4 linked regions of the Tamandua tetradactyla genome follow. The protein of the gene in region 1 binds, or shares a complex with, the protein of each later gene. Links are inferred from orthologs where the notes say so. Each region holds a gene or a part of one and is shown in the gene's direction. Other genes may lie near its edges.

Region 1 (7,502 bases):
GAGACCTTGTTTCCATTAGCAGTCACCCCTGCGCCCCATTTCTCCCTCCCTGCTGGGCACCCCTTTCTCAGGTCAGAGAATAGACAGCATCTATTCTCTGTCTTTATAGACTCCCATGGTGTGGACATTTCAATAAACGGATTCATACTGTAAGTGTTCTTTTGGAACAGGCTTCTGTCACTTAATATAATGTTTTTGAGATTCATCTACGTTATAGCACTTATGTTTGTTTTTTTTTTACTACTCCCACACCAAAACTGTACTTTATTTTGTAAATTTTGACCCATTATGACTCCTACATTATGGCTCTATCATCTGTCAAGTGTGTTACGTGAAAAAAAATTTAGTTAAATCCGGTTGCATCTGGAAAATAAATTTCTTAAACTCCATATACAGTTGGGTCCCCAGTCCATCTCTGAACTCTAGGACGGTCAGTATCATGTGCAGCAGACTGAAGCTACACCATCTGATTAGCTTATTAATTCTGCACAAGTTGGATCAATTAATGTGTCAACCAGTAACAGACTGTACACTTTAACTGAACATGGCAAAATAGTCCCTCTTCTGAGCTTTACATTTGATGTCAAACAGTGAAGCAAATCCCAAAAATATATACAAGAAACAGCTTTAAATTTACAATAGGTGGTTTCCCATACTGATTAATCCCTGCAACTAACTCATTGGCTTATGCAATTCTATTGAAGAAAAATAAATAAATTGCTAGCAGCGCTATTAGGTGACCATTCATCCATTGACAATTTGCCCCAGTTATTCAGTGCTATATTAAACAGTATATTGGAAGATAGAGTAAGTAATAACTCCAAGCTTCCTAATAATTTCAAGGAAAATTATAAAATGTTTGAGACCCTATCTTGGAATATAAAGTGTGTATGACTTCCAATTTCGATTTTCTGTAGAACAAGAAGTCATCCCTTCATGGACAGGCATAAAGCACATCACATTTTCTGTTCTGCTGATGCTGTAAATTCAATACCAGTTCTACAGCCACATCAGTTATGAGCATTAGGGTCACCATGTGCCCTCAGCTCTCCAGCAGTGGACGGCTTGGACAAGCACGGGTGCTGCTACGGGGTAAGCCTGTGTCCTCCAATGTGACAACTGAACGTCCATCTCCTGTCCGGGCCCCCACCCAGATGACGCCTTCGGTACATCAGAGCAGTGGGGAGTGGTTTCAGTCTCACAGCCAAGTTAGAATAAAGACCTGGGCACATAATACACATGCTTCCTTTTTTTTTATAAATAATTCTGAATCTTGGGCAGCCATTCTCTTGTAACTACCTTACAGTTTCTAAAAGCAGTCATTGCCCAAAGCTGGAAGAACTTAAGTCTTCTCAGATGAGCATGGAATGATTGGAGGGAGGTAAGCAAAAATAAAGTTTAAATGATGAAGTCTGGGGGTGCAAGGGTAGTTCCATGGTAGAATTCTCGCCTGCCATGCGGGAGACTGGGGTTCGATTCCCGGCCCATGCACTTCCCCACTGCACCCCACCCCCAAAATTCAACAAATGGTGCTGCAATAACAGGATAGTCATACGAAAAAAGAATGAAATGTGACCCCCACCCTTCAGTGCATACAGACACACACACACACAAAGATGAAGTCTGACAGGAGAGCAGCTGGATAAGAAAATTAAAAAAGGAAACATTAAAGTTATTCCTACTATAATGCAGGTATTCTGACTTTCATCCCATGGCATACTTCTGAATCCATCCTCGAAATGTTCAACTGCACTTATCGCTGTTTCACAGATGGCTGCCATCTCTGGCACTGGGGGTTCATCTGGGTTCAGATCACACAGCAGTAAACACATGGATAACAGAACTTCAGAAACAGTTACACTGGAGACCACTGTCATCTTAGAATAGTGAGCAAGTGCCGCTGCTACTGTCAATATCTGGATGATAAATTCTTGTGGTAAATGCAACCTTGACTCTTTGGAGAGGTGGGCTGTAGGAAAATGAATTGTCGAAAAGAACACACCGCCTTGCTATGAGCTGTCGTTAGGTCCTGGAATTGCGGACTGTCGATGAAAGTTTTCGTCCCCAACTGGACCTGCAGAACACTGTGCTGGGGGGAGGGTGTGCCATGGGCCAAATTGCCGAGCTCCTTATTAATCCGTGTCAGCCCACATGTGTGCTTTCTGCCTGGCTCCGTGCGATTTCGGCGTGTGCCCAAAGGTCCAGCCCAAAGTCCTGATTATCAGAGCAGCAGGGAAGGACTGAGTCTTCCACTCACATCGCTTCTCCAGACACAGAGTCCGGGGCCCCCACCCCCCTCAAGCTGCAAGCTCAGCCTCCTCCCCAGCCCTACGGGGGTCATGCCAATATTACAGTTCTTTTTATTGCCAAATAATATTCTACTGTACGGATATACCACTTTTTGTTTATATCTTCATCACTTGAACATTTGGGTTGTTTCCATTTTTTTGGCAATTGCAAATTAATGCTGTGAACTTTCATGTAAAAGTGTCTGTGTGAACAAATGTTTCCATTTCTCTTAGGTAGACACCTAGGAGTAGAGTTGCTGAGTCATATGGTAACTTTGTTTAGCTTTTTAAGAAACTGCCAATCTATTTTCCAAAGTGGATGTATCATTTTACAATCCCACCAGCAACATATGAGGGCTCCAATTTTCCCACATCCTTGACAACACTTACTATTGTCTGTCTTTTTATTAAACAGATTGTAGAGGGTGTGTAGTGGTTATTTAAAATGGTTTTAATTTGCATTTCCTTAATGGCATATGATATTGAGCATTTTTAAAATTTACTGTCCATTTAGATCTTTTCTTTGGAAGCATGTCTATTTAAATCCCTTGTCCATTTTTCAATTGAGTTGTGTTACTATTATTATTATTTATTTGTTTTGGCTTTTAACAAGGGGAATTTAATAAGTTGCTAGTTTACAGTTCTAAGGCCGAGAAAATGTCCCAGTTAAAACAAGTCTATAGAAATGTCCAATCAAAGGCATCTGGGGAAAGATACCTTGGTTCAAGAAGGCCGATGAAGTTCAGGGTTTCCCTCCCATGTGAGAAGGCACATGGTGAACAGTCAGGGCTTCTCTCTCGGCTGGAAGGGCATGTGGCGAATATGGCATCATCTACTAGCCTTCTCTCCTGGCTTCTGGTTTCATGAAGCTCCCCAGGAGGCGTTTTCCTTCTTCACCTCCAAAGATTGCTGGCTGGTAGACTCTGTGCATCTCATGGCTACATTGTTCTGCTCCCTCTGAATCTCCGAGTTGTATTATTATTATTAATTTGTAAGAGTTCTTTATATATTTTGGATACTAGTCTCTTATCAGATGTATGATTTACAAATATTTTCTCCCATTTTGTGAGTTATCTTCTCACTTTCTTAGTGGTGTCTTTCGAAGCACAAAAGTTTTAAATTTTGATGAAGTCCAATTTGTCTTTTTGTCTTTTGTTTTTGGTGACATATCTAAGAAATCATTGCCTAATCCAAGGTCACAAAAACTTACTCCTTTGTCTTCTGCTAGAGATTTTAATAGTTTTAGGTCTTGCATTTATGTCTGTGCTCCACTTTGAGATAAAGTCTGCATAAGGGGTGATGTAGGGGTCCACCTTCGTTCTTTCTCGTGTAGCTATCCAGGTGTCCCAGCACCATCTGTTGACAAGATGACTCTTTCTTCCTTGAATTATCTTGGCATCCTTGTCAAAATTCAATTGACCATAACGCACGGGTTTATTTTTGTACTCTCAGTTCTAGTCCCTGGATCTGTATGTCTTTCTTTCAATCTTACAATAAATTGGCTTTAGCCTCGCCCTACATGTCGTGGAGACAAGTTACCTCCTTACTGCCAGGAGCCTGAGAATTCTCCGGGACACATTTCCCCGCCGCTGCTTCTTGCACCAATTCCTTGTTTTCACTTCATTTCCTGCCTCGGCTCAGGGTCTCGCCTCCATAACGCAGCCCTTCCCACTCCGACTCTTTCTGGAACCCCTCCATCCCTTCATCCCTTCAAGTACCATAAAAACACAGTGAGTGACAAACTTTTACTCAGAATTTAAGAAAAATGGATGAAGAACCTCGCAAAGCTCACATGGGCAGCAACTTCGAAAATCACTCAGCACCGCGGCTCAAGGGCTCCCGAGCAGAGAGCCGGGCGGGGAGGCGGGGAGGCCTGGGTCCGATTCCAGAGGAAAACAACACCCACGCAGAAGAGGCACGCTCACCAGCCAACCATAATAGGACTTCTTTCTTTGCGAGCGGCCCCCTAGTGTGTCCTGAGCCCCTCTCCCATCTCGGGGGCTGCCGGAGGTGTGCGCTTCCTCAGGATTTGAGGGGCCGGGGGTGACAGGGCGCTCATGCCCAGGCAAGACCGGAACTAGAGTCGCGGGGCCCGGGCACCGGGGGACCACAAAGACACCGGGACACGGCGGCGCGCGCTCGCCTGCAACTCGTTCCCCGCACTTCCGGCGCGCGACCCGGAAGCGGAAGGGGGCCATTTCTCTCTTTTTTTGCTCCTGTGCGTCTCTCCTGCGTGGTTCGATCTCTCCGGGCAGGAGAGCGGCGGCCGTTCCCTGTGTGGTGTGAGGCGGAGGAATCCGCTGAGGGCGCGGGGCAGCCGCGGCCATGGCGGACGTGACCGCCCGTAGCCTGCAGTACGAGTACAAGGCGGTGCGTCTGGGCTGGCGGGAGGACTCGGGGCGGAGGAGCGGGATGGGGCCCTGGGGCTGAGAAACAGAGCTGCGGCCTGGAAGCCGACGGGAGAGCCGGGAAACCCGAGGAGAAACCGGGGTCCACGGCGCTGTGAATAACCCCGTTGGGGGCTGCGGCGGGCGGGCCTGGCCAGGGGCTCTGAGGGTTCATTCCCTGCCCCTTGCACAGGTCCCCTCCGCCGGGCCCCCACTCTTTTCCCTATGGCCTATTATGGGCTCTGCTAGGAGTAAGGATGGTTGGACTGAGTTGACAGGCCATAGAACTTAGTTCAGCCCTTCGCCCCATGTGCAGTTTTATAAAATGCTACAGCTGCCTCCTTCCTTTATCATCATCAGTTGATATCCCTGTGTTATAGGATATCGGCCCAGCTGATGTCAAAGTTGCGATAAAATTGTGATTTTTTCAGAATTCGAATCTTGTCCTCCAAGCTGACCGGTCTCTTATTGACCGCACCCGCCGGGATGAACCCACAGGAGAGGTGCTGTCCCTGGTGGGGAAATTGGAGGGCACGCGTATGGGAGATAAGGCTCAGCGGACCAAACCTCAGATGCAGGAGGAAAGAAGGGCCAAGTGAGTACGCTGCGAATACTAGGTTTTTTCTCCAGATCAGAGTCCCTTCTCAGTGAATTTTTGCTGAAACGCCTGGTGCAAGAGACAGGTCAGTGTCATTCAGACACCTTGGTGGAAGTAAAAGCAGTACCTGAAAGTTAAAAGGTTCTTTGGCCTTAACAAGTGTGGCTGCAGTGGAAAATAACTTTCTGGGAACTTTTTCTAACATATCTTTTTCTGGTCCACAGACATCTTCATCTTCACAGCATTTATGAGACCCTTGAGTCAGTTGCTCTTTTTCTAATTCCTTTGCTGGCTTCCTGCCCTTACTTTCCTTTGCTGTTCCTCACTTCCTACTTTTTTTTTTTTTTTAAGTCTTAAGCTAACGCCTAAGCGTCCACTGGTATGAAAAACTTTTTTTTTTTTTGAGTACTTCTTGGGGTATATATTTCAAAACCTAAATAATTATTGACTTTATCTCACCATTATCTTTTTTTTAGAGACACATGTAGAACTTTTATTTTGCAGGGTTTAAGTCCCTCCAGAAAAAGTTTGCTTTTTTAGACTTGCAGTATCTAAGCAAGAACATTTAAAATAGTTTGACATTTTTAATGATAGAATGGTGTGGGTTCATATTCTGTAAAAAAGAAAAGAAAAAAGGTGAAATAGAATGGCCTGTCTTACAGATCACTGGGGAGAATTACGTGCAAAATTAATTTTCTCCTTAAGCCAGACAAGCATATATAACTATCTGCTGTGGATAGGATTCCAGTTTTAAATCGTGCTGGAAATAGCAATGGGTGGAAAAGGAAAGTTTTGGATGGGAGCTTTCGAATAAACCATTATCTTTTGCCCCTGAACATCTCTGTTTCCTCCTCGTGATAAAGTCTCAGACGTTCCTATGCCTGTTTTGATTAAGGGAGTTACATTTCAAACAGTTTTATATCATTGGCCCTCTACTTCACAGAGTATTCCGCCTGTCCCAGTTTTGTTGTAATTTGTTGGGAGTCAGTGGCAGTAGATTTATCTTGACTCTTCAGTTTTTGAAGGTAGGGAAAGAAAATGCCTCTGAGCGGTGAAAAACAAGTCAAAATCCGATGGTATAATGTTATACAAAGTGTAAAGAGTTGTCTTCTTTTAATTAATGAGGGGAATGTTCCATTGTAAATTTAGTGTATCTAATAAGGGGATTCCTTTTCTGTGTCCCATCAAAAAATGTCAGTTATAAAGTACAATTATAATAATATTCTTTGGTCAGTTATAACAAAGGTACTACACTAGTGCAAAGTGCTAATAATGGGGTGGGGGCAGGTGTATATGGAAACTCTATATTTTCTGCATGATTTTTCTGTAAACCTATACTACTTTAGTAATATATAGTAAAGAAAGAAGTGTTTCCCGCAGGTGACTAAGGGCACATGGAATCATTTGCTGAGATGTAGGTTCTTCTTTTCAAATGTTGGGTGTGCGCCATGAAGCTGAGACAGAGAGGGGTGCCGTCTTGATTTGGTTTTGCCTTGGAGAGGGAAGAGTCTACCTGTTTAATGCCAAATGTGTGTCTGTTAGGCGAAGAAAGCGTGACGAGGACCGGCATGACATCAACAAGATGAAGGGCTATACCCTGCTGTCAGAGGGCATTGACGAGATGGTGGGCATCATCTATAAGCCCAAGACCAAAGAGACCCGGGAGACCTATGAGGTGCTGCTCAGCTTCATCCAGGCCGCCCTTGGGGACCAGGTAAGGCATCAGAGAGCCAGGGAAAGGGTCAGTTCCGAGAGACACAGAACAATCTTGTTTTTGGATTTGTTGTGTGGGCCATTACTGAGAGTTCACTTTATGTGTTTTTGGTCCTTGCAAAAACTCTCTTAGATAAGTGCTGTTATTCATTTTCCCTGTTATGAAACAGAGACCTGAAGCACAGAATGGTTAAATTCTTCTCCCGAGACTCAGGGGAGGTATCTGGATGGGAACGCAGGTAGTTCACAGAATCTGCTATTAGCCCTTACACAAGCACGGTTAGGTTAAGAGTTCTGAGAGGCTCTGGGAAAGTGAGAGATAGAGGAAGTGAGGACAAAGAATTCCCAAAAGTGACAGGCTAGGGGAGGGTGGCAGAGTGCCTTTCCCACTTGGAGATGTCATGGAAGCTGCATCCTCCCACTTACCTTATCTTTATTAAGTTGTGTGACTCTTGAGTGTCATTTTTGGTCCACATTAATGAAAATGGTCAGGGCCTGGTGTGACGCAGGAGGGGA
Region 2 (6,970 bases), on another chromosome or scaffold:
TGGAAAATCAAGGACATCTGTTTGGTTGTTTTTTGTTTTTTGCTATAAACATTTTTTTGAATGCCTAAACATAAAGCACTGGTCCAATTCATTAATATTCCACAACGAATTTAGTTATAATATGCTCTGATTAAATTAGTTGTGGTTACCAGCCTTTGTGTAGTTGAAAAAAATTAAAAGCTATATATTATCTTATTTCATTGGAAGAAACATTAAAATATTTTGAAAATTGAAAGCCGTATTTTAAATAAACTTGGTAGCAGGTATGTTAGCCACAGAAATCTCTTAAAGACATAGAAATGCATTTTTAAAAGTTAAAGACTCCCATACCTTGGAAATAAGTTGCTGACATCTGAAATATTCCTAAATTTTTACATACTGTGCTTTATATACATTGGCCACACAGTTCCAATGAGTTTCACTGTGGTAGAATTAGCATTACTGAAATAAATGCACTTCACTGAGAGCTGAACAGCAAGCTTACATACTACAGATTTCCACATAAACTATAATTCATAAAGGCCAATCCAAGTCTTTTCTTTGTAGCGGGTAACCATTTATGTTTGAGGTGAAGATGTTAATATGGAAATTTTGTGAGCTAGGAAAGAAGATGAACGCTATCATTCTAATTTATGACCTTTCATATAGGGCAAATGTAAAGGCAACTTCAATTGTTTTATATCTCAGTGCCGGCACACGGCAGATGTATGAAATTTGGAGTGTTAGATATAAACTTTTATTACCAAATTATAAATAATTTCTCCCACTTATAATGTTCACCTTTCAAGTTCATCTTGTTGAAAACACAAGGGCAGCTTCACACAGATTTCGTTAAATTATACAGCTGAGAGAGGTTTTCTAGAGTTCACAGTAGAATGTAAAGCATTTCAGCGTTTGGCAGACTTTCCTTCCAGGAGCTCAGACCCAGAGTCCATCGCCTTCGAAGTTAAACTCAGACCAAAAGGATGGATTGATGAAATTCGAACATGTGTTTACACATCTCAAATGTTCTAGCTTAAAATAATTGCCTATGCTATCGAATAAATCTGTGGTAGACTGAATTATGTTCCCCAACGAACATATGTTCTTAATCTTAATCTGCATGCATGTGAGTGTGAACGCATGTAAGCAGGACCCCTTGAAGATACTATTTTTAGTTAAGGTGTAGCCCAGTCGAATGAGGGTGGGTCTTAAATCTGGATTCATGGAGGCTTTATAAAGAGAGAACCACAGTAAGGAGCCCAAAGCAGGAAATTTGCAGGAACCCAGAAGATAAAGAAGGACATTGCCATGTGACAGGAGGCAGAGATGTAAACCAAGGAACCCCCAGGTGCAGGCAAGCCAGCATAAAAATCGTACCAAAGTGGGAGGAAGCAAGTCTTCTAGCCTCCAAAACTGCAAGACAATAAATTCTGTTCATTTAAGCCAAACTTTTGTGTGGTATTTGTCACAGCAGTTTGGCAAACTATGACATATTCCTTCTTTTGGTAAAAATAAAAGGCTTATTGCTTTTTCTGAGAAATTTGTCCACCAGTCAACAAGTTTAGATCACTTCTCAGAAGATATTCTGCAGTTATAGAATGTCTTTCTTCTCATTTCCTTTAACAAATTATTTTCACATCCCATGATGAAAGGTAGGTAAGAGTGGCCTAAAATACCCAAAACCAGGATGTCATAGCTTTCATGTTTTTATGTCCAGTGTTGAAAGGTCAAGGAAGGGAGGCTCTACCCCTGTCAGCTCTTCAGAACAGTTAATGCACTGCTCAGGCAAGAGCAACTAGTGTTCATCGAATGCCTAACACTGATGCAACATTTTAAAACCTGCTTTGGGAATGTGACCAATCCAATTCCATGTTTGTGTTTATTATCTTTACCCACATCAGCATCATAGTACAATCACCCACACGTTCTCCGGGCTGTTGGGTGTTTTATAAGACAAGCTAAAAATGATACTTTCTGTTTCTGTTTCTGAATCTGAAACATAAATGGAGATAGTTACTTGAAGGCAAAGGTATGAAAACTTGTAGAAATGTGCAATAAATAATGAAATGGCTGAGTTCATTTTAGTATTTTTATACTAGTATTTGCCTGTTTTAAGAATAACAGATTATGTTTGAAATGCTGTTCTCGTTACAAAGCATTTTTGTATATGTTTTCTTTCTCATTCAATCATTTCATTATTCTAGGGTAAAAAAATTAACTTTTATTTCCTCCGTTTTAAGATTTTAAAAAAAGCCTTAGATAAGTTTAATTACTGGACCAAGAAAGATTTTTACAATTAGAAGTGGAGGAGGCAGAATTCATATATTACGATTTCTGATGTCATGATCTTAACGATTTTTAGTTCATTGGATAGAAACTTATATAGAGGCAATGATAAACTTAGCCAAACTAAGCTGTGCCACACTGTTTTTATGACTTTAGGGCTTCTTAATAAGTTAGTATTTATGTTCAGGTTTCAAAGACCAGTTCTTGGTAGTAAACCAGAAAAATCCCACATATATTCTCTTTGTAAAATATATGATGTTGAAGGAAAAAATAGTGAAATACTGAAAGTTGCCTCGTGAGTTAGTAAAAACCAATTTTAAGCTGGTGAGGGGATTCTGAGGACAATCATATTTTTGATAAGCTTTGGTGGTACATGAAGTAATTCATGTTAGTGCCCCTTGAAAAAGGTTGCCGCTGCCCTGTAGATGAACTATGCTCTAAAAATTCCTCACCACCCCCAGTCCTCCACATCAATCTACTGCTTCCACCAGGGCTCTGTGGAAACCGAGGGAAAAATCTATGAATCAAAATTTAAGAAAACAATCAGTGAGGAATGTGGGACAATCTGATGTCTTTTGCAAAGAAGGATTTTAGGGACAGAGCTTTATATTCTATTATGTTTGTTCTTTGCAGCTAATTACTTGATTTTAATAGTACTTTTCTTTAAAAAAAATTTAAATTTACATTATATTTTATATTGCAAGAACTTCAAATAGAGCTCTCTCAATTAATCTGTAATTGCTTGGTCTTGACCCAAACCACTCTTTTAGAGAAGGGTTTAAGGAAGTCTGCTCTTTGCTAAATCACCCCCAGTTGTTCTCTGTTCACAAGATCAGTCAACTGCTCACTTCTTCACCTTTCAGCTAAGAGAGGCTTACAAGGAGTGTATGTGTGTGTAAGGGGGGATACTCACTTTTGTCTTTAAAAAAATCTGCATATTATATCCTATAACATTTAACAGATTTAAGATCTGTTGTTTAAAGGTAGCACTTTGTTTATAGTGTTACAACTCATAAGGAAGATTAAAGTCTATCTTGATGAGGGTATGTGTGTAAGGAAAAAAGGAATTCAATGTTGGTGTAACAGCTGTCTCCCTTTTCCTCTGCTGTTTCACTAATAGCAAGAATACCGAGAATTCATGCAAAATTCCAAACCAGGTTCCCATAGCAGCACTTAAATAATGTCCGCACAGCATTTCCAATTAGAATTACTGTTTGTAATGTAACACAATTTATGCCATTACAATATAGTTACTTACTAACGAATTATTTTAGTTTCAATTAACATTGCTATGGAATTGCTAATAATGAGTTTGTTTTCACACATTTAAATCAAAATCCAAAGATGGATTTAAAGATTTGAGGCTCCTTTTCATTTGTTTATTTTCATGAGATTATTCAGCGACATTTCTGGGTATGCCCCGACATACCTTAGCAGTAAATTCCAGTTTCCTGACTTCACGCTATTTCTTATATTTCTGCAAAGAAATCCTGTCACTTCCAGTTCTTTATTTGCTTGGGTTTTTTAGTTTGGTTGTTAATACTGTTTTAGGCTTTCCGTTAAAAGAAAGATCACCACCGCCTCCGACTTGAACCCGGCGGCAAGATCTCGGCAAACCGAGGTTCTATAATTTGCGCGCGCGGGCCAGGACCGGCCTTTTCGGTCCTCACGGGCTGCCGTAGCTGGAGGAAGCACTGATTGGCTGGGGCGGAAAGTGCCGCTGCTTCGGCGGTTTCAGCTTTCGCGGCGGTTGTCGGCGGAGGCCGGGCGTGCGCGCCGCCAGGAGTAAGGTGCTAGATCCCGGCCGCGAGGTGAGCGGGGTGGCCGCGCGGGTGTGCGGTCGCGCGGTCTGAAGGCGAGGCCGCGCGTAGTCCCGGGTTCGAGGGCCAGGGTTCTCTCTCCCCAGCTAGGCCCGGGAAGGGCCTGGCGGTAGCGGGATTAGGGACCCGGAGAGGGACAGCGGGCCCCGGACACTGCCGGGGGGTCGGTCCCTGCGGGACGCCGCGCCCCTTGGCTCTCTTCGGCGCCTGGAATGGCCGGGAGATGTCTGGTTGTCGGCGTTGAGGTTCCTGAGCTCCCTGGAACCCTTTCCCCAGAGCTGCCTGGAACCGGGAGGCGTGGTGAGGAAGGGCACTTTCCTGGCTGCCTTGACTTTGCTTGTGAGACCTCTCCCGGTTGTCGAAGTCTCACCGGATCCCGGGACGCTCCCCGGGGATTCGGCGGGAAAACGGATCCTGAACACAGGCCCAGGCTTTGCCTGGTTCCCAGGGCAGCAGGGAATCACGGGTACTCCACTGAAATCGGACTAGCTGCTCAAATCGGACTAGCTGCTCCTGACTCCCAGGAATTAAGGAGTGGACCTCCCCGCTCCAGCCCACCTTCCCGAGTTGTCGGATGGGGGATATCCCTAATCGTATGGAGTCGAGTTCTATTACCGGAGACTTTCTGTGTGTACGGGTGCGTGCACGCGTGCATAGCAAGTGTTTTACTTCGGGGTATCCAGGATTAGAGTGATGCAGATAATGTTGATAGTGATTTAGTGTGCCTCCTCCTCCCCATAATAATACATGACTATTGTAGAAAAACGGAAAATGCAGAGGACTTCAGTGAAGAAAATAATATTCACTGAGTTCTTCCACCCACAGTCCATGTATGTATTTTATTTATGGATTTGTTTCTACTTGAGTTAAGACTATACCTATTTTTTCCGTACTTAACAGTATATACAGTTTTCTATTTATATTTGTAAATTCTTACTAAATAATTGTCTTAATTCTGTATTTTCTTCTGATTGCTTATTCCATCATTGTGTAGGTCTCATAAATTATTCATCCATTTTCTTACTGTGGGGCATTTAGGTCGTTTCTGAGTTTTTGCCTTATTTTAACGTCCCAGATTATACTTTGGTGAGCCTCTCTTTTTAACTGTGTATCTGATTATTCCCTCGGACTAGATTCTCAGGAGTAGAGTTACTAGATCAGATGATGTGGACATTTTAAAGAGTCTTCATATAGATTGCCAAATTGTTTTCAAAAAAAGTTTGAGTAGTTTACATCATCCATGCGTGAATGTTCCCGCTTCACCAAAAGTATGGTCGCTTGAAACATTTCTAACACATCAACCAGGAAAGTTGAGCCTCTCTTTTGAATGATTTTTTTCATGGTGGTGTCTGGTAATTCTGCTTATTTGAATTTTGTGCAAGAATCATACAGAAGCTTGCATATGTGTGTGTGTACTATTGGCGTTATGGCATAAGCTAACCAAATGTTAGAGCAGGAAGAGACTTAAGTGACCATCTAGCATAACTCCCTTATTTTCCAGGTGAGGAACCTGGGGCCATGAGAGGTGAAAGGATGAGTTATCCAATTCACACAGCTAATTAAGTAGCAGAGATGGAATTAGAACTCAGGTTTCCTGCCTCCCAAGTGAGTACTCTTTTTGCTGCATCAGGCTTCTCTCACTGTGGCATAATAGGTATTAGAATTTAAAAAGACATTATGTCACCTGGGTTATTTTATCAGTTTAGAATTGTACAACAAAGATAACCATCAGAGGGACCTGTAACACTGAAAAATTGGGAAGTGACCTTTTTCATGGCCGGGACTAAAATCCATGATAACAAATGGCAACCCCTTGAAGATTTTGACAATTGTTTTCAAATTCTCTGTGTTTTGGAATAAAATGTCCCTAATAAGTTATAATTTATACCCCATCATTTGGTTAGAACTTATTGGTTTTTATTAGTTATAACCTGAAGAATTAAAAAGAACTCCTTGTTGCTTTAAGACCAGGAACAGTGTTGGCATCATGATTATTATCATTTTTAGGCTTATAGCAGGGTTTCTCAACCTCAGTTGACATTTTGGGCTGTTTAATTCTTTGTTGTGGAGGCTGTCATGTATATTGTAGAATGTGTAGCAACATCCCTGGCCCCTACCCACTCAGCCACTCGAAACCAGTAGGACCACCCTCCCTAGTCATTACAATAAAAAATGCCTCTAGACTTTTCCAGATTTCCCTGGGTGAGAGTGGGAGGTGCAGAATTGCCTTCTCATTGAGAGCTGCTTGTGTATAGGAATTATTTCGGGGAGATTTAGGAAATGAAAATTACAGTACCCCTTGCCTAAAGCACCTGGATAGGAGTAGGCCCCAGGACTCTGCATTTTAACAAGCATTTCTGTTGATTCTGATGCAGCTAGTTTTTGACCAACACAGAAACATTTCTATTTTCTCTCCACTATCTTTTCTCTTATTTGGTGGTCAGTAGTAGAGATATTACCACGTTAATAGCTTTTGAAATGTGTAGATGATACTGTACTACCCACTTTGCCCAAAGTGTGAGGGAAGAAGAGACAGGGGTTTTGCCTGGCATTGGCCTTGAGTGTCTTTTCCACAAATTTGGGAAGTGTCCCAAGGATATAGAATGGGTAAGGTATTTTCCTGGCCCCCAAGAAGCTTAGAACCTGCTGGTCAGCAATGAAAACAATTACAAAATCTGCTGGTGTGATCACAGGTAAGAAAGAAGTGCACTGACTCACTTGTGTTTTTGGAGAGAAGGAAAGGAAGTTGCTGGTTACCTTGGACAGAGGAGTGAATTAGTGTTGAGCCTTCCTATAAGCTTAGGTCCTCCGCTGTTTCAGAAGTTATTTAGAGAACTCTTTTTCTCATTGTCTGATGGTCTTCTCAGATGCTGAAAGATTAG
Region 3 (7,012 bases), on another chromosome or scaffold:
TTTACTAATCTAAAAACAGAGAGGGGAAGATACTTCAAAGGCATCATTTGTTTCCTTATCACACTTGTTTCAAGCAGTTAAAAGCACAGATGTATACATCTGTGTTTTTTGAAAAAAGAGAGGTAGAGGAGTTAAAAAAAGAAAAACAAAACACAAAAAAACATGAGTCAAAAAGATGTCCAAAGGATCATGATTCATAATCTCCAAACACAAAAGAACCAACATGAACATCCATACACAACTAACTGTGATGTAAATTATGGTATAGTCATCCAATGAAATATAATTCAGTCATCTTTTAAGACAGAGGAAAATAATATATGATATAATGTTATGCACGCAAAGTTGTTTTTACAGTATGCTTCCACTATGTTAAAACACACACACACACACACACAGAGACTGAAGTAAAAACACCAATAGTTAAGTTACTAATGATTATTTGTGGCAGGTAGAAACATGAATGACTTTTATTTCGTTCCTTTATTTTTTGTTGTGTCTTTTGGTCCTTATGAAATTAGAAGTTAAGGAACTGGAGTCTAAATGGCCTTTCCCTTGAGCTTGTCAATGTGGTTATTTCAACAGGACAGGAATTTAATCACTGTGGCTTGCTGGGGCATCCATGTTTAATAAGGAAATCTGCTTAAACCGTCCAGGGGTATCTCACAGCACTTAGAATCAAATTTAAACTCCTGAGCTTGCCCTCCTACATGACTCAGGCCCAGCCCACCTCTCTCACCTCAATTCCTATCACTCATGGCTCCTATTTCTCACTGCATCTAGCCAAGTGGCCTCCTTGCTATTTCTCAAAATGGCCAAACTTCTTTCCTTCTAAGAGCCTTTAAATTTACTGTTTCCTCTGCTAAAATTCCCACACACACCCCCAACCCTCACTTCACCCCAGAACTTCTATGAATGGCTTCTTCCCATCATTCCATAAGTGGCTCTAAATGTCACCACCTCACAGAGGCCTTCCCTGCCCACTCATTCTAACTTAGTTCCCTCTTCTCAAATCTGTATCCCCATGCCAACTTTACTACAGCACCCTGTTTTAACTTCTTCATAGCTCTTATTACCACAAGAATTTGCTGTTTTTTTTTTTAAACTTACTATCTCCCCTACCCACCCCTCAAAGATTATATGCATCATGAGAGCAGGGACCTTGCCTGTCATGTCCACTAATATAAATTCAATACCTCAAACAGTGAGTGGAAATAAAAAAAGTGCTCAACCAATATGTGTTATATGTTGATGAAATTAATTACATCAATGAACACATACAAAGAAATATGAAGAAACTACAGGTGCCCAAAAAGAAGCAAGGAAACAATGTGGAAGACTATTTTCTTTGTTCCTGATGGAAGCAACTAAGTGTTCCTTTCATTTGCATGCACAGGAGTGCTGTTAAAATCCAGAGTTTTATACGAATTTCTACACTGAACAATCATCCAAGTAGGGCCACCTGCAGTCCAAGGCATATGCACTAAATCTATAGTCCTCACCCAACCACCACAAAGACCTTAACTCTTCATAACCTGGAAGCAGCTTTGAAAACCTGGTGCTAGTTACCCTAGCTGGCAGAGTTGGATTGAAGCTTGGGTACATTCTTAGCTACATTTAGGTTGAATGATATTAGCTAGCCTAACTGATCACCTAACATGGGCCCACGCACCATGCCATAAGCCTTATATGCTATCTCACTGAAAACTCACAGTTACCTTGCAGGGTAGTACTACATTTCACAGATGAGGTTTAGAAAGGTTATTTGTCCAAAAATAATTTACCAAAGTGCATGTAAATTTACCAAAGTCTAAGTGATGCACAGCTGAAATGCTGAGCTGAGAATGCTACCCAGGAAGGTAGCATTACCATCAGATTAAAATCTTTACTTTCTGAATTGTAACATACTCTGAACACATTCCCTCTGTCTAGAATGCCCCAACTCCCCACCTTTCATGGCTGCTTGCTAAACTATTATCCATTCTTAAAGTTGTAGCTCTAACATAACCCCTTCAGAGAGCATTTCTCAATCTCTCCAGTCGAACTTGATCAATCTTTCAGAAGCCAGTCTTCTGTACCTTCTTCATGACCTTTAACGGACTCTGCCTTGGATATTTTATGTACAAATGTCATATCAACAGTATTATACTCTAAGCTCTTCCATGAAATCTCCATCTTCTATGTCACCTAATTCATATACTGGCATTCAAAAAATGCTATCTGAATGAATAAATGAGTGCCTGAATGAATAAAATGGAACTCATAGTATTAATTAAGCATAATATAAATCACCTTCTGAGCTAAGAAACTATTACCATTTGAATATTTTCTAAGGGACAATTAGCTTATAACATGTACAGAATCAAAGAATCTAGTATCGTAGGAGCCCTTGTTGGTTACCTACTTTAATCTTCTATCCAGTTATTTCATTCAGGAACTCTAGAAATCCTAAAGCAGCATGCATTTTGCAAAGATTTAAAATATTTATTGAGTACTTACTATGTGTGTGTGTGGAGGGAGGGAGGACAAAATGGACACAGCAAAATACAAGACATTTCTGCTTTCAAAGAGCTTAAATTCTAGTAAGATGGGTGGTCAAAAAGGAAGCAAATAAATTAATAAGACCCTAACAGATCGTGACAAGGGCTGTGGGAGCAATAATCAGGGTACAAAGAAGGAGAATACCTGTGGAAGGCTACCTTAGATCTGAAACTCAAGGAGTGACTCTGAGTTGAGACCTGAAGGAATAGAAGAATGAGTTGAGACCTGAAGGAAAACAAGAAATCAGCCACAAGGGCCATGGAAGTACATTCTAGGCAGAAGGAATAACAAAGGCTTAAGATTAGAAATGTCTTAGCATGTTAGAGGAACAGCAAGTTGGCCAATAAATAAAGAGAATCCCTGGCAAGGAGAAAAGAGAGGAAGCAGCACCCAAATCATGTAGGGTCTTGTAGGCTGTGCTAAGAAATTTAAATTTTATGCCAAGAGCAATGGGAAGCCATAGAGGTTTTGATGTAGGAACAGGAAACGTGTGGATTTCTTTTAAGGATCATTTTGGCAGCTGGGTGCAGAACCCACTGCAGGGAAGCAGAAAGACCAGTGAAGAGGTAACAGCAGCCACGCACCTGCAAGTCGATAGTGGCCTGCACAAGAACTGTGCCAACAAAATTAAAAGGACAGACGAGATAAATTTCTGAGGTTGAACTGACAGGACTTGTGCATGTAAGAAAAAGAACGGTTTGCTTTACCAAGACAGTAAAGGGGTCATTTATTGAGATGGCAAAAACTGGGGAAAGGTCAGAGGTTTTAAAGGGGGAAAATCAAGAGCGTTGCTTTGTCTATGTTAAACATCAGACAATATCCACTTGAAAAAATCGTGTTGGAACTACCTGGGTGAGATTTAGCTGAAGATGCTACTCTGGGAGTTAGCACACCACACCACTCCACATCGCGGTCCGTCTCCTGGGGGCTCATAAAATAACTGCAATGCCTTTTCCTCATTCAGCCCTTAGCAAAGGAGAGGAGGCTGGACTTTACCCTGTGGGCACTGCTAAGCAGGAATGAGACTACGCTGGGGAGCTCGTGGTCAGATGGGACTCCAAAGAAGTTGCTCTGGCCGCATCCTTCCTCGCGTGAGGGACAAAGGCGTGCAGGGATGCCGGACGGTGAGGGGCCGGCAGCGACATAGCGGCCCGGCAAGGCTCCGCCTGCCTCCGTCTGGGCATTGAACAGCATCCTCCCCCACCCCGGCTCCTGCACTGCGGGCCTGCCTCTCAGCCCCCTCAGTATCTGTCCCCTCGCTCTCTCACCTGCCTCCTTCCTCTCGCTCCGGGCCTGGTTCTTGCCTTTAGCCTTCCGGCCGCGCAGCTCGCGTCGCTGCGGCTCCGGAGAGCCAGCGCCTTTCCGTCCCATGGCCGAGAGAGATTCGCCTTGCGAGTGACGCACCACACCGCGGTAAGCGGTCGCGGCACGCGAGCCGCCCCAGTGGGGCAAGGCATAGTCACGCCCCTCCACCACGGCCAAGCCACACCCTCAGAGGAAGGTCCGCCTCGGCCCCGGCAGCCAGTGTAAATTGCGTAGGCAGAGAGACGGAACCAAACAGATACTTTCTACTTCCGGTGCTTTTGCGTTCTCACGTTTCCGGAGGCGTGGGAAGGCACGTATGATCTCGCGATAGGAGAGAAAGGGCGCAGGGTTTGAAACATGGCGGACGACGTGGATCAGGTGAGTGCGTTTTGGTCTAAAGCGGCTTCCCCCGCGCTCCCAGTCCTGGCCCTTCTCGACTTGCCAGGGCTGCCTTCTCTAAGCTCACGGGAAAGTGTCCTTACGAACCACCTCTTTCTGGCCCACTAAGGCTTAATCTGTCTCCTTCCCCTTGTAACCGCATCCCCTTCCAGTTTTGCTTCAGGCCCTCAGTTCTGTCCTGTTCAAAGCCCGCGCGCCTAACAGCGATTCCTGACTCTCATCACTTCCCTTCTCTTGTCTGTAGATAATGAGAATAATTTTCCGTGTCTGCCTCGTGGAGCTGTCAGGATTCTGATAGAAAGTGTGGCAAAAAAATTGAGTTAGTGACGTTATTACTCAGCGTAGTATAATAATTATCCACTCATTCAACCAATACGTAGTGTGTATCAGCTGTCGGTGACTAGACATTACTCTAGGCACCAGGGACAGACATAATCCCATTACCACGTGGAGCTTATATTCTATTGGGGCAAGGCATACACGTGTGAGATACATAGGAATTGTGACGTGGTATGAAGGAAACAGACAAGGGACCGGGTACGGAGACCTTACAGGGTTTTTCGCCTGCTCTTCTTCCCCAAATACTCTTTCTGATGAATGTCGGGCCACAACTTATTCAGTTTTTCCACTCAAATCTCACCTCATCAAAGAGGATTTCCCTGGCCACCTACATCAAATAGTACCACCACCACCCCAGTCTGCTTACCTTGTTTAATTTCGTCATAGTATGTCATTCTTTATTTATTTTATTTTATTTTTTTCATTTTAAGTATGTGCTACTTTGTATAACAGCTGTCTTCCCTGCGAGAGCAGGAATTTTGTTTTGCTTACTGTTCTACCATCAGGGTTTATAACAGTGCTGGAAACACCATATATTTATGAATGAATGTATTGGATGATCAGGAGACCTCTTTGGAAAGGCAACATTTAAGGTTATAGGTTGAAAAGGGTAGAGAATGGGCATCTCAGACTGAGTCTAAAGTAGCAGCAGGATTCTGTCATGTGTATATTCTTATAGAACTATAATTGTTTATTTATATGCCTCTCTCCTAATTGGGCTGAACTCCTTAAGGACAGGTGCCTTATATTCTATGAAATTGTAGCTTGTCCAGCTCTTTAACGAACACTTGTTGAACTGGAATAGTGAGAGAGTCACCAGTTGAGGTCAGGACTTTTTTTTTCTCATTGATCTGAAGGACAGGTAGAGCCTGTGCTGGAGTCATGATTGTTCTCACTGAAAACTCTTTCCTTGGACAATCTTATCAAGTTTCATGGCTTTAATCCTCCCTTCCATATGGATGGCCCCGAGGTGATCCTAGCCCTGACATCTCTGAAACTTCAGACCTATGTTACCAACAGTTATTTAATATTTGTATTTAATATTTGTATTAATATTTAATATTTGTATATGTATAATATTAATTATTAATATAACTATTTTAAGTGCTTTCTGTTTGCCAGGTTTTACTTTAAATATATTGGCTCATTTAATCTTCTCAAGAAACCTTAAGGAAAGGTTGTGGCATCCTCATTTTACAGATAAGGAAGCAAAAAATTAGATTTGTTATCTCAGTTTGTACAGGTCAAAGCTGGGATTTGAACCCAGACTGCCTTGCTCCAAATCCAGTGCTTTTAACCAGTAGTCTATACTTTCTACTACCTATTTTCATCTTACTGTCCATTTGGCACCTTGAACTCAATCTTCCTTGTGGTGGATTCATAATCTTCCCTCAGACTTTAACGAACATCCCTCCCTAGCATCCTGACTGGTTTGTGGTAGGCACTAAGTGAATGTTTTACAAATGATTAAATGATATTTGAGATAAGGCTAAAGTCTCAGAAAGTGGCTCCGTTTACCCTGAAATTGGGTCAGGCAGTTTATTATTTTGAGGGAACAAGGTCTCACTGACTTTGGTATAGCCATGATTATTTTGCTGTGTAACTCCTTTCTTTGTGTATATGTTTTCTCTCATTTATATAGCACTTATGTGCCAGGCACTGTTCTGAGCCTTCATATAGGTCATTTAAGCCTCGCAACAACAGTATGAATAGGTACTGTTAATCCCCGTTTTACAAATTAGGAGATTGAGGCATACAGAGACTAAGTAACTTGCCCATGGTCACATAGCAGAGCAGTGATTGGAACATTACACTATTCCTAGTATTATGCTACTGTTTCCTCAATCAGCAACAAACTACCAACACCGTAGAGGAGCCCCTGGATCTCATCAGGCTCAGCCTGGATGAGCGAATTTACGTGAAAATGAGAAACGACCGAGAGCTTCGAGGCAGATTACATGTAAGTTTATTAAATTATCTTGAAATTAGACTACTTCTGTATCATCCCTCCCTTTCCCCACCCCCTTGAAATGTAGAAAGTATCCAATGTGCAAGAATATTTTGAAACATGGAAGAGGGGGAGTTAGAAAGTCACCCATATTTCTACAAGCCAAATATAACTATTTTATATATGTTAACACTTTTTTCTCTTTACAGAAATGTGTTTATTATGAAATGTTTTCACTCCCTTCATTTTTTCCTTGTGATTATTTGTAAATTACATTTGTCCTCCATTCTTATTTAATTTTTAAAAAATTACTGCTGCATAAATGTGTTTTGTAAAAAAAATTAGACAACACAGATATATATAGTGTAACAGATGAAATCCTATTTTCCTCTATTGGTAACCACTGCTAAAAATTGGATCTGTATTCTTTCAGATATTTTTTTGAATAGTTACACATATATATTCATGTGTGTGTGTCCA
Region 4 (7,970 bases), on another chromosome or scaffold:
TGGCAAATGCTGTTTTCTCAATAGTTATTAGTAAGGACCACCAGAAACAGTTTGCTTTCAGCTGGCAAGGTCAGCAATATACTTTCACTGTCCTACCTCAGGGGTATATCAACTCTCCAGCCCTATGTCATAATCTTGTCTGCAGGGACCTTGATCGTTTCTCCCTCCCACAAGACATCACACTTGTCCATTATATTGATGATATCATGTTGATTGGACCTAGTGAACAAGAAGTAACAACTACTCTAGACTTACTGGTAAGGCATTTGCGTGTCAGAGGATGGGAGACAAATCCAACAAAAGTACAGGGGCCTTTCACCTTAGTGAAATTTCTAGGTGTCCAGTGGTGTGGGGCATGTCGAGATATCCCTTCTAAGGTGAAGGATAAGTTGCTGCATCTGGCCCCTCCTACAACCAAAAAAGAGGCACTATGCCTAGTTGGTCTCTTTGAATTCTGGCAACAACATATTCCTCATTTGGGTGTGCTACTCTGGCCCATTTATCAAGTGACCAGAAAAGCTGCTAATTTTGAATGGGGACCTGAACAAAAGGAGGCTCTGTGACAAGTCCAGGCTGCTGTACAAGCTGCTCTACCACTTGGGCCGTATGATCCAGCAGATCCAATGGTGCTGGAAGTGTCAGTGGCAAATAGAGATGCTGTCTGGAGCCTTTGGCAGGCCCTATAGGAGAATCATAACGCAGACCCTTAGGATTTTGGAGCAAAGCCTTACCATCTGCTGCAGATAACTACTCTCCTTTTGAGAAATAGCTTTTGGACTGCTACTGGGCCCTAGCAGAGACTGAAAGCTTAAGCATGGGTACCAAGTTACCATGAAACCTGAGTTGCCTATCATGAGCTGGGTGTTGTCAGACCCACCATGCCATAAAGTTGAGCATGCGCAGCAGCACTCTATTTTAAAGTAGAAATGGTATATACAAGATAGGGCCAGAGCAGGTCCTGAAGGTACAAGTAAATTACATGAAGAAGTGGCCCAAATGCCCATGGTCTGCACTCCTGCCACATTACCTTCTCTAGAGAAAACTCGGGCCTGGTTTACAGATGGCTCAGCACGATATGCAGGTACCACCCGAAAGTGGACAGCTGCAGCACTACAACCCCTCTCTGGGGTGTCCTTGAAGGACAGTGGTGAGGGGAAATCCTCCCAGTGGGCAAAACTTTGAGCTATGCACCTGGTTATTCATTTTGCTTGGAAGGAAAACTGGCCAGAGGTGCATTTGTATACTGACTCATGGGTTGTTGCTAATGGTTTGGCTGGATGGTCAGGAACTTGGAAAGACCATAATTGGAAAATTGGTAACAAAGAGGCCTGGGGAGAAAGTATGTGGATAGAAGTTTCTGAGTGGGCAAAACATGAATATATTTGTGTCCCATGTGGATGTGCACCAGAGGGTTACTTCAGCAGAGGAAGGCTTTAATAATCAAGTGGATGAGATAACCCATTCTGTGGATACCAGTCAGCCTCTTTGCCCAGCCACTCCTGTCATTGCCCAATGGGCTCATGAACAAAGTGGTCATGGTGGTAGGGATGGAGGTTATGCATGGGCTCGGCAACATGGACTTCCACTCACCAAGGCTGACTAAGCTACAGCCACTGCTGAGCACCCAATCTGCCAGCAGCAGAGACCCACACTCAGCCCCTGATATGGCACCATTCCCCGAGGTGACCAGCCAGCTACATGGTGACAGGGTGATTACATTGGACCACTCCCTTCATGGAAGGGGCAGCGATTTGTTCTAACTGGAATAGACACATACTCTGGATATGGGTTTGCTTTCCCTGCACGCAATGCCTCTGCCAAAACTACCATCTGTGGACTTATAGAATGCCTTATTCATCGTCATGGTATTCCACATAGCATTGCTTCTGAGCAAGGAACACACTTCACAGCAAATGAAGTGCGGGAATGGGCACATGCTCATGGCATTCTCTGGACTTACCACGTCCCCCATCATCCAGAAGCAGCTGGATTGATAGAACAGTGGAATGGCCTTTTGAAAACTCAATTACAGTGCCAACTAGGTGGCAATACCTTGAAAGGCTGGGGTAATGTTCTCCAGGAAGCTGTATATACTCTGAATCAGTATCCGCGGTATGGTGCTGTTTCTCCCATAGCCAGGATCCATGGGTCCAGGAATCAACAAGGGGTGGAAATGGGAGTGGCACCACTCACTATTACCCCTAGTGATCCACTAGGAAAATTTTTGCTTCCTGTCCCTGCGACCCTGAGCTCTGCTGGTATACAGGTTTTAGTTTCAAAAGGGGGAGTGCTTCCACCAGGAGAAACAATAATGATTCCATTGAACTGTAATCTAAGACTGCCACCTGGTCACCTTGGGCTACTCATGCCCCTGGATCAGCAAGCCAAGAAGGGGACTGCATTACTGTCTGGGGTGATTGACCCTGACTATCAGGGGGAAATAGGACTGCAACTACACAATTGAGGTAAAGAAGAGTTTTCTTGGAATATGGGAGATCCCGTAGGGCGTCTTTTAGTACTACCATACCCTGTGATTAAAATCAATGGAAAACTGCAACAGCCCAATCCAGGCAGGTCTACCAATGGGTCTGAAACTTCAGGAATGAAGGTTTGGTTCATCCCACCAGGCGAAGAACCACGGCCAGATGAAGTACTTACTGAGGGTAAAGGGAACATGGAATGGATAGTGGAAGAAGGTAGTGATAAATATGAACTACGACCACGTGATCAGTTACAGAAACGAGTACTGTAATGCTGTTTTGTTCATGTTATACTATTTAAGTTGTAAGTTATCAAGTTTAAGAATGAATATTACCCAAGGACTTGCACCCTATTTTGGAGAGATTTAATGTGTTTCCAGTTATATGCAGGACAGTTAAGTATTGTCAGGTCAAAGAAAAAAATGTGCATTTTAATTTATTTAGAAATTAGGTATGGTTTAAGGTGATATATAGAGCTGCAAAGTTGACAAGGGGTGGACTGTCATGGTCAGGTTCATGTGTCAACTTGGCTAAGTGGTGGTACCTGTTTGTATGGTGGGGCAAGTACTGTCCTGTCTGTTGCGATGAGGACATCTCACAGAATTAAATCATGATCATGTCAGCTGCATCCACAACTGATTCCATTTGTAATCAGCCAAGGGAAATGTCTTCTGCAATGAGTGATGCTCAATCTAATCACTGGAAGCCTTTTAAGGATTCAGAAGAGATAGGCTCTCTTCCTGCTTCAGCTGGTGAGCCTCTCCTGTGGAGTTTGTCCAGACCCTCCACTGGAATCTTCGGCTTCACAGCCTGCCCTGCAGATTTTGGACTGTGTTCCTATAGTCACATGAGACACTTTTATAAATTTTATATTTGGAAGTGTTCCCTGTTGATTCTGTTTCTCTAGAGAACCCTAACCAATACAGCGGTTTAAAGCTATAATTACTCTACAAAAACTTGTTTTCAAATTTAATCCATTCCTGTGAGTGGGAACCTTCTGATGAGGTTATTTCAATTAAGCTGTGACCCAGCCCAATCAAGATGGGTCTTAAACCTATTACTGGGGTACTTTATAAGCAGAATTCAGGCACAGAGACAAAAAGCCACAGGGGGAGAAAGGAGAAGTTGCTTATCAATGGAACAGGAAGAGAAGGCAGAGAGCAGGAGGTGCCACTATGTGTCTTGCTGTGTGACAAGCTAATGACAGCCAGCCCCAGTATGCCACGGTCTTCAGGAAGAAAAAAAGCATCATCTTGATGACACCTTGATTTGGGCTTTTTCCCAGCTTCAAACCTTGAGCAAATAAATTCCCATTGTCTAAGCCAAACTATTGTATGATTTTGCTTGAGCAGCCCAGGAAACTAAAACAGACTCCAAGTCTTGACCCAGGTCACCTTCCTTCACCCAATTCATTGAATCTATTTATTGAATACTTATATGCTATTCAGTAGTAGGCACTGCAGTCTACAGCTGTGAACAGCCAGGCGAGTAGAGTCTGTGCTTCCATGGAGTTGATATCTTATCTGGAACGAATGTGTGTGTGGCAGGAGGTGAGATGTAGAGACAGACAATATAATTTCAGATACTGAATGGCATTAAGAACATACACTGATTGACCAATGGCTACTTTAGATTGGGTGTAAAATCTCTCCAAGGAAGTGATATCTCAGCTGAATCCTGAATTACAGGGAGCATACCCTGTCCCCACCGTTAAGATCTGGAATAGTATTTCAGGCAGGTAGCAGTACCAAAGCCCTAACACCCTAAGACAGTAACTATCTCAATAACTTTGGAACAGAAAGGAGCTTAGTAATTTGGCAAGTAGTACAAGAAAAGACCAGGTAGGTGGCAGCCAGATAATTTAGGCCTTTGTAGGAGGAATTGGATTCTATTCTAAATATGATGGGAAACCAGGAGTGGTTTTTAAGCAGAAGAGTTATTTTAAAAGCACTAGCTGCTGTGAGGGAAATGAACTGGACGGTACAAAAGTGTAAACTCGTGGCAGAATGAACTAAAATTTTAGTGTCCCGATCTCAAGGAAGGGCTGAATAAGTCCTATATGCCAAGCTGTTCTAAGCCTGAAGGATGAACAAACCAGAGCCTCTGCCTTCATGGGGCTCACAGACTAGTGGTCAGAAGGAAGAAGCAACCTGAGCGAAGGTTCAGAAGTCAGCTGCAAGAGTTGGTGAGGACCTTGGAGACTGTTCAATCCAAACCCCCTAGCCTAACGGAGACTAATTTGTACCGCACTTAGAGCCCTGTGAGTCGGGTGCCCGCGGACATTCAGAAAAAAACAAAACAAAACAAAAAAAACAGCAGCTTTTCTCCCCTGCCCTAACCCTCAGGACACCCAAGTTAGTTAACAGAATGCGAACCTGTTATCGGTACACGTCTGGGCGCGGGAGCCAGTGAGCTCACCAGGATAGGGGGCGGGCTCCAGGGGCGTGTCTCGGCCTCGGTCGCCTCTTCCGCGCCTGCGCCGCAGACGCCGACGGCAGGGCTGGGATTAGATTCGCCTGAACCCCGCGTTCCCGGCTTCTGCTTCCGGGTCGGAGCCATGGCGGTGGCAAATTCAAGCCCTGTCAACCCCGTGGTGTTTTTTGATGTCAGCATTGGCGGCCAGGTGAGACCCAGAGAGCCACCGAGCCCTGCGCCGAAGGAGAACTGCACGGGGCTAGGCAGACAGAACTGTTTAAGCCTGGGATAGCGGATTTGGGAAGCCAGAAAGTGAAATAGGACCAGAACCTACCACCCTGCCTGGTGGGAGGATGAAGGAAGAGGACTCGCGGATTCTAACCCCCTGATTGGGAAGGGGCTGGGATCAACGGAAGGTTGGGCTGTGTAGACAGAGGGGGAGCGATACCGAGCGGCACCGCGGGTGGGGAGGTGGGCCTGCTGTTCGTGCTCCTTGCTCCCAGAGGCCATCATGGTCTTAAACTGGGCCCTCTGACCATCTCCCGCTGGTTGCAGGAAGTTGGTCGCATGAAGATTGAGCTCTTTGCAGACGTTGTGCCTAAGACGGCTGAAAACTTTAGGTAAGGAGACGATCCAGCTCTACCGGATTACCCCCACCCGAAGATGGGCCCAAGTCAGTCTGCGGAAACGTCTGTGTGTCTCTGTCTCTGTCCATTCACTGCCCTTGAGACATATGATTCTTCTGGTTATCGTTTTGTCTGAATAGAACGATTTGATTGTTCCTGTGTCCGTTTACTTTGTTAATCTGCATACCTCGGTACCTGGACCTCTGGCCGGGTTTGCTGGCTCTAGGATAGCTGGCTCCAATATCTGCCTTTCCCTCCCGAGATTAGTGTTTTCGTGGATGTGTGATGATGTGATGACTGACTTGTTCACCCTTTCGTTTTCAGGCAGTTCTGCACGGGAGAATTCAGGTCAGTCTCAGTTGTGGTTGACTTTTCTTCCTGTTCCTGAGGGGTGTCCTAGAGCTGCAATGAGGGTCTTGGGGAATCGAATGATTGCCCAAGAGGCTATCTCAGGTCATTTGCCTTCCTTATCTCTCCTCGCCCCTCTTTAGGAGAGTCCTGTTGATTGGAGTGTGTGATAAACTGGAATGGCCTGTGATAGCCAGTCGTCATTCCAAATCTCTTTCTTTTTGGTTATAGAAAAGATGGGGTTCCAATAGGATACAAAGGGAGCACCTTCCACAGGTAAGTTTTTTGGCAAGCCATCTTGGGGCCCTTAAGAATTACTTCCTTGGGGCATTAGACTGTAAAGGCAGAGGAAAATACAATCAGAAACTAATTCTTGGATCTTGAGAAGAAATTTTTTTATTGACTTAGCAACTGATTTGAAGAATTATTAAAGATACCAACTCTACTTACACTCCTCCACTACTTCTTTTAAGCTATTTCAAAAAGAAGCAGCTACCCATAATTCTAATGTTCTGTTTTTTCATGTCCTTGTAGGTATGAATGCTGATTTTTAAAATACCACATTTAAGAACTAGTTCTTAAAAATGACCATGTATGATTACCTTAGGATAGTCAAATTCCTTGGGCCAGATGGAAGTGGAGTGTGGTAACACTCAGGTGTCTTTGTTTCATTTAGCATTTGCCTCAAAGTCCTCACTGTGGTTAGTAATGATATTAGCATATCGGACATTTAGAGCCATGGTCTTTGTGAGGCCAAAGCCTCACAACACAACTGTGAGGTGGTAGGTGTTATTATCTACATTCTACAGGTGAGGAAACTGAGGCTAAGAAAGGTTAAGGATCCTGTCAGGACAGTATCTAACATTTATTGAGCCCTTATGTGTATAATAGCTCATGGGTTAGCATTTCACATACATTCTCCGTTTTCTTTTTTCCCACAATTTACATCAAGCCCTTCACCTACCCTTTGCTTTGGTGATTATTTTGGTGGTTTTCCTGCAGGGCTTGAGCCCCTTCCTTTTGTTACTATTCAAGTACTGGATCATGCACTTCGGTCTACTCTAAGATGCTCTTATTTATAATTAAAACTCCTTTTTTTGTTAATAATCTTCTCAGCTCACTCTTTCCAGGAGAGAGTAATCATTTTGTGAGCGAGAATGATAAGTATTGTATTTTTTAAAAAAATTGTTAATCTGGTACTATAATGATAAAACCATGTTTCTAAACTTTAGAATCATCTCTCAGAATCCTTTATGCTCCCTCTGTTTCAGGGTCATAAAGGATTTCATGATACAGGGTGGAGATTTTGTTAATGTAAGTATTGTTCCTCTCCTATCAAAGACCTATGGGTTTGTTTTGTTGTCGCTGCTGCTTCTGTTTTGCTAGGGGACCAAGTCTTAAGTCTTGAAACAATAGCTAAGTTTGATGGGAGATAGTGATGGGGATAGTGATTCAGGATTGCCACTACTACTGCTAGATGATGGACATCAGCACTTCAATTGAATGACTTACATCCATGGTCCAAACCTCTGTCTTCTAGGTCCAGAAAGTGGACTCTCCCAACATACCTATTGATGATCAGCTCTAATCATCCCCTCAGACTTAGTTGACTTTTCTCCTGGTGGAGGTGATGGGGAGGGGAAGGGGCATCTAATTAAAGTCACATGAAGCTTATTTAGAACTCAGATGCCTTAAAATGGATAGAAGTAACTCCTTTTCCAATAAATTGAATGCTTATGTCCTTTTTTCCTTTCCATTCCTGGTATCACAGTGCCTGAAAACCTGAGTTTTTAATCAGAAGTTGATTAGTGGACAAGAGAGGTAGATAGATCTGAAAGGATGTTTCTTCTGCTCATTGGGAGAGCCCAGTGGAATATTCCTTCACTGATCAACACACCTTTCTTTTGACTAGTCAGTATGTGTCCTCTATATCAAGCTTCTCCCCCTCCCATCCCATTGGAGGGTACCAAATAAATCACCTTTTTTCTTTCTCAAACCTGTGTTTGTTCTTAACCACCCACTTATGTTCATGGCCTTGCTTTACTCATATTAATATTATTTGGTCATTGTACAGTCATATGGCTGTTTTCTTGGATCTCGG

Evidence for each region.
Region 2: SNRNP200 (region 1) and LSM6 share a complex: the UniProt entries of both Homo sapiens proteins name them as parts of the U4/U6-U5 tri-snRNP complex. The link is inferred for Tamandua tetradactyla from reciprocal best matches to the Homo sapiens genes SNRNP200 and LSM6.
Region 3: SNRNP200 (region 1) and LSM3 share a complex: the UniProt entries of both Homo sapiens proteins name them as parts of the U4/U6-U5 tri-snRNP complex. The link is inferred for Tamandua tetradactyla from reciprocal best matches to the Homo sapiens genes SNRNP200 and LSM3.
Region 4: SNRNP200 (region 1) and PPIH share a complex: the UniProt entries of both Homo sapiens proteins name them as parts of the U4/U6-U5 tri-snRNP complex. The link is inferred for Tamandua tetradactyla from reciprocal best matches to the Homo sapiens genes SNRNP200 and PPIH.

What each region holds. Positions count from the first base shown.
Region 1 is NC_135343.1:2,444,301-2,451,802, reverse strand, and holds the start of SNRNP200 (U5 small nuclear ribonucleoprotein 200 kDa helicase), read left to right. Parts: upstream 1-4,482; 5' UTR 4,483-4,613; coding exon 4,614-4,658; intron 4,659-5,106; coding exon 5,107-5,270; intron 5,271-6,815; coding exon 6,816-6,987; intron 6,988-7,502. UniProt on the Homo sapiens protein: Catalyzes the ATP-dependent unwinding of U4/U6 RNA duplices, an essential step in the assembly of a catalytically active spliceosome. Plays a role in pre-mRNA splicing as a core component of precatalytic, catalytic and postcatalytic spliceosomal complexes.
Region 2 is NC_135348.1:21,885,923-21,892,892, reverse strand, and holds the start of LSM6 (U6 snRNA-associated Sm-like protein LSm6), read left to right. Parts: upstream 1-3,951; 5' UTR 3,952-4,079; intron 4,080-4,113; exon of another isoform or gene 4,114-4,388; intron 4,389-4,600; exon of another isoform or gene 4,601-4,725; intron 4,726-5,589; exon of another isoform or gene 5,590-5,693; intron 5,694-6,970. UniProt on the Homo sapiens protein: Plays a role in pre-mRNA splicing as component of the U4/U6-U5 tri-snRNP complex that is involved in spliceosome assembly, and as component of the precatalytic spliceosome (spliceosome B complex).
Region 3 is NC_135335.1:33,959,359-33,966,370, forward strand, and holds the start of LSM3 (U6 snRNA-associated Sm-like protein LSm3), read left to right. Parts: upstream 1-4,012; 5' UTR 4,013-4,203; coding exon 4,204-4,224; exon of another isoform or gene 4,225-4,697; intron 4,698-6,433; coding exon 6,434-6,544; intron 6,545-7,012. Other genes in the region: XPC (DNA repair protein complementing XP-C cells), read right to left, coding at 3,810-3,912. UniProt on the Homo sapiens protein: Plays a role in pre-mRNA splicing as component of the U4/U6-U5 tri-snRNP complex that is involved in spliceosome assembly, and as component of the precatalytic spliceosome (spliceosome B complex).
Region 4 is NC_135328.1:182,093,992-182,101,961, reverse strand, and holds the start of PPIH (peptidyl-prolyl cis-trans isomerase H), read left to right. Parts: upstream 1-4,961; 5' UTR 4,962-5,037; coding exon 5,038-5,103; intron 5,104-5,450; coding exon 5,451-5,515; intron 5,516-5,845; coding exon 5,846-5,869; intron 5,870-6,100; coding exon 6,101-6,145; intron 6,146-7,140; coding exon 7,141-7,183; intron 7,184-7,970. UniProt on the Homo sapiens protein: PPIase that catalyzes the cis-trans isomerization of proline imidic peptide bonds in oligopeptides and may therefore assist protein folding. Participates in pre-mRNA splicing.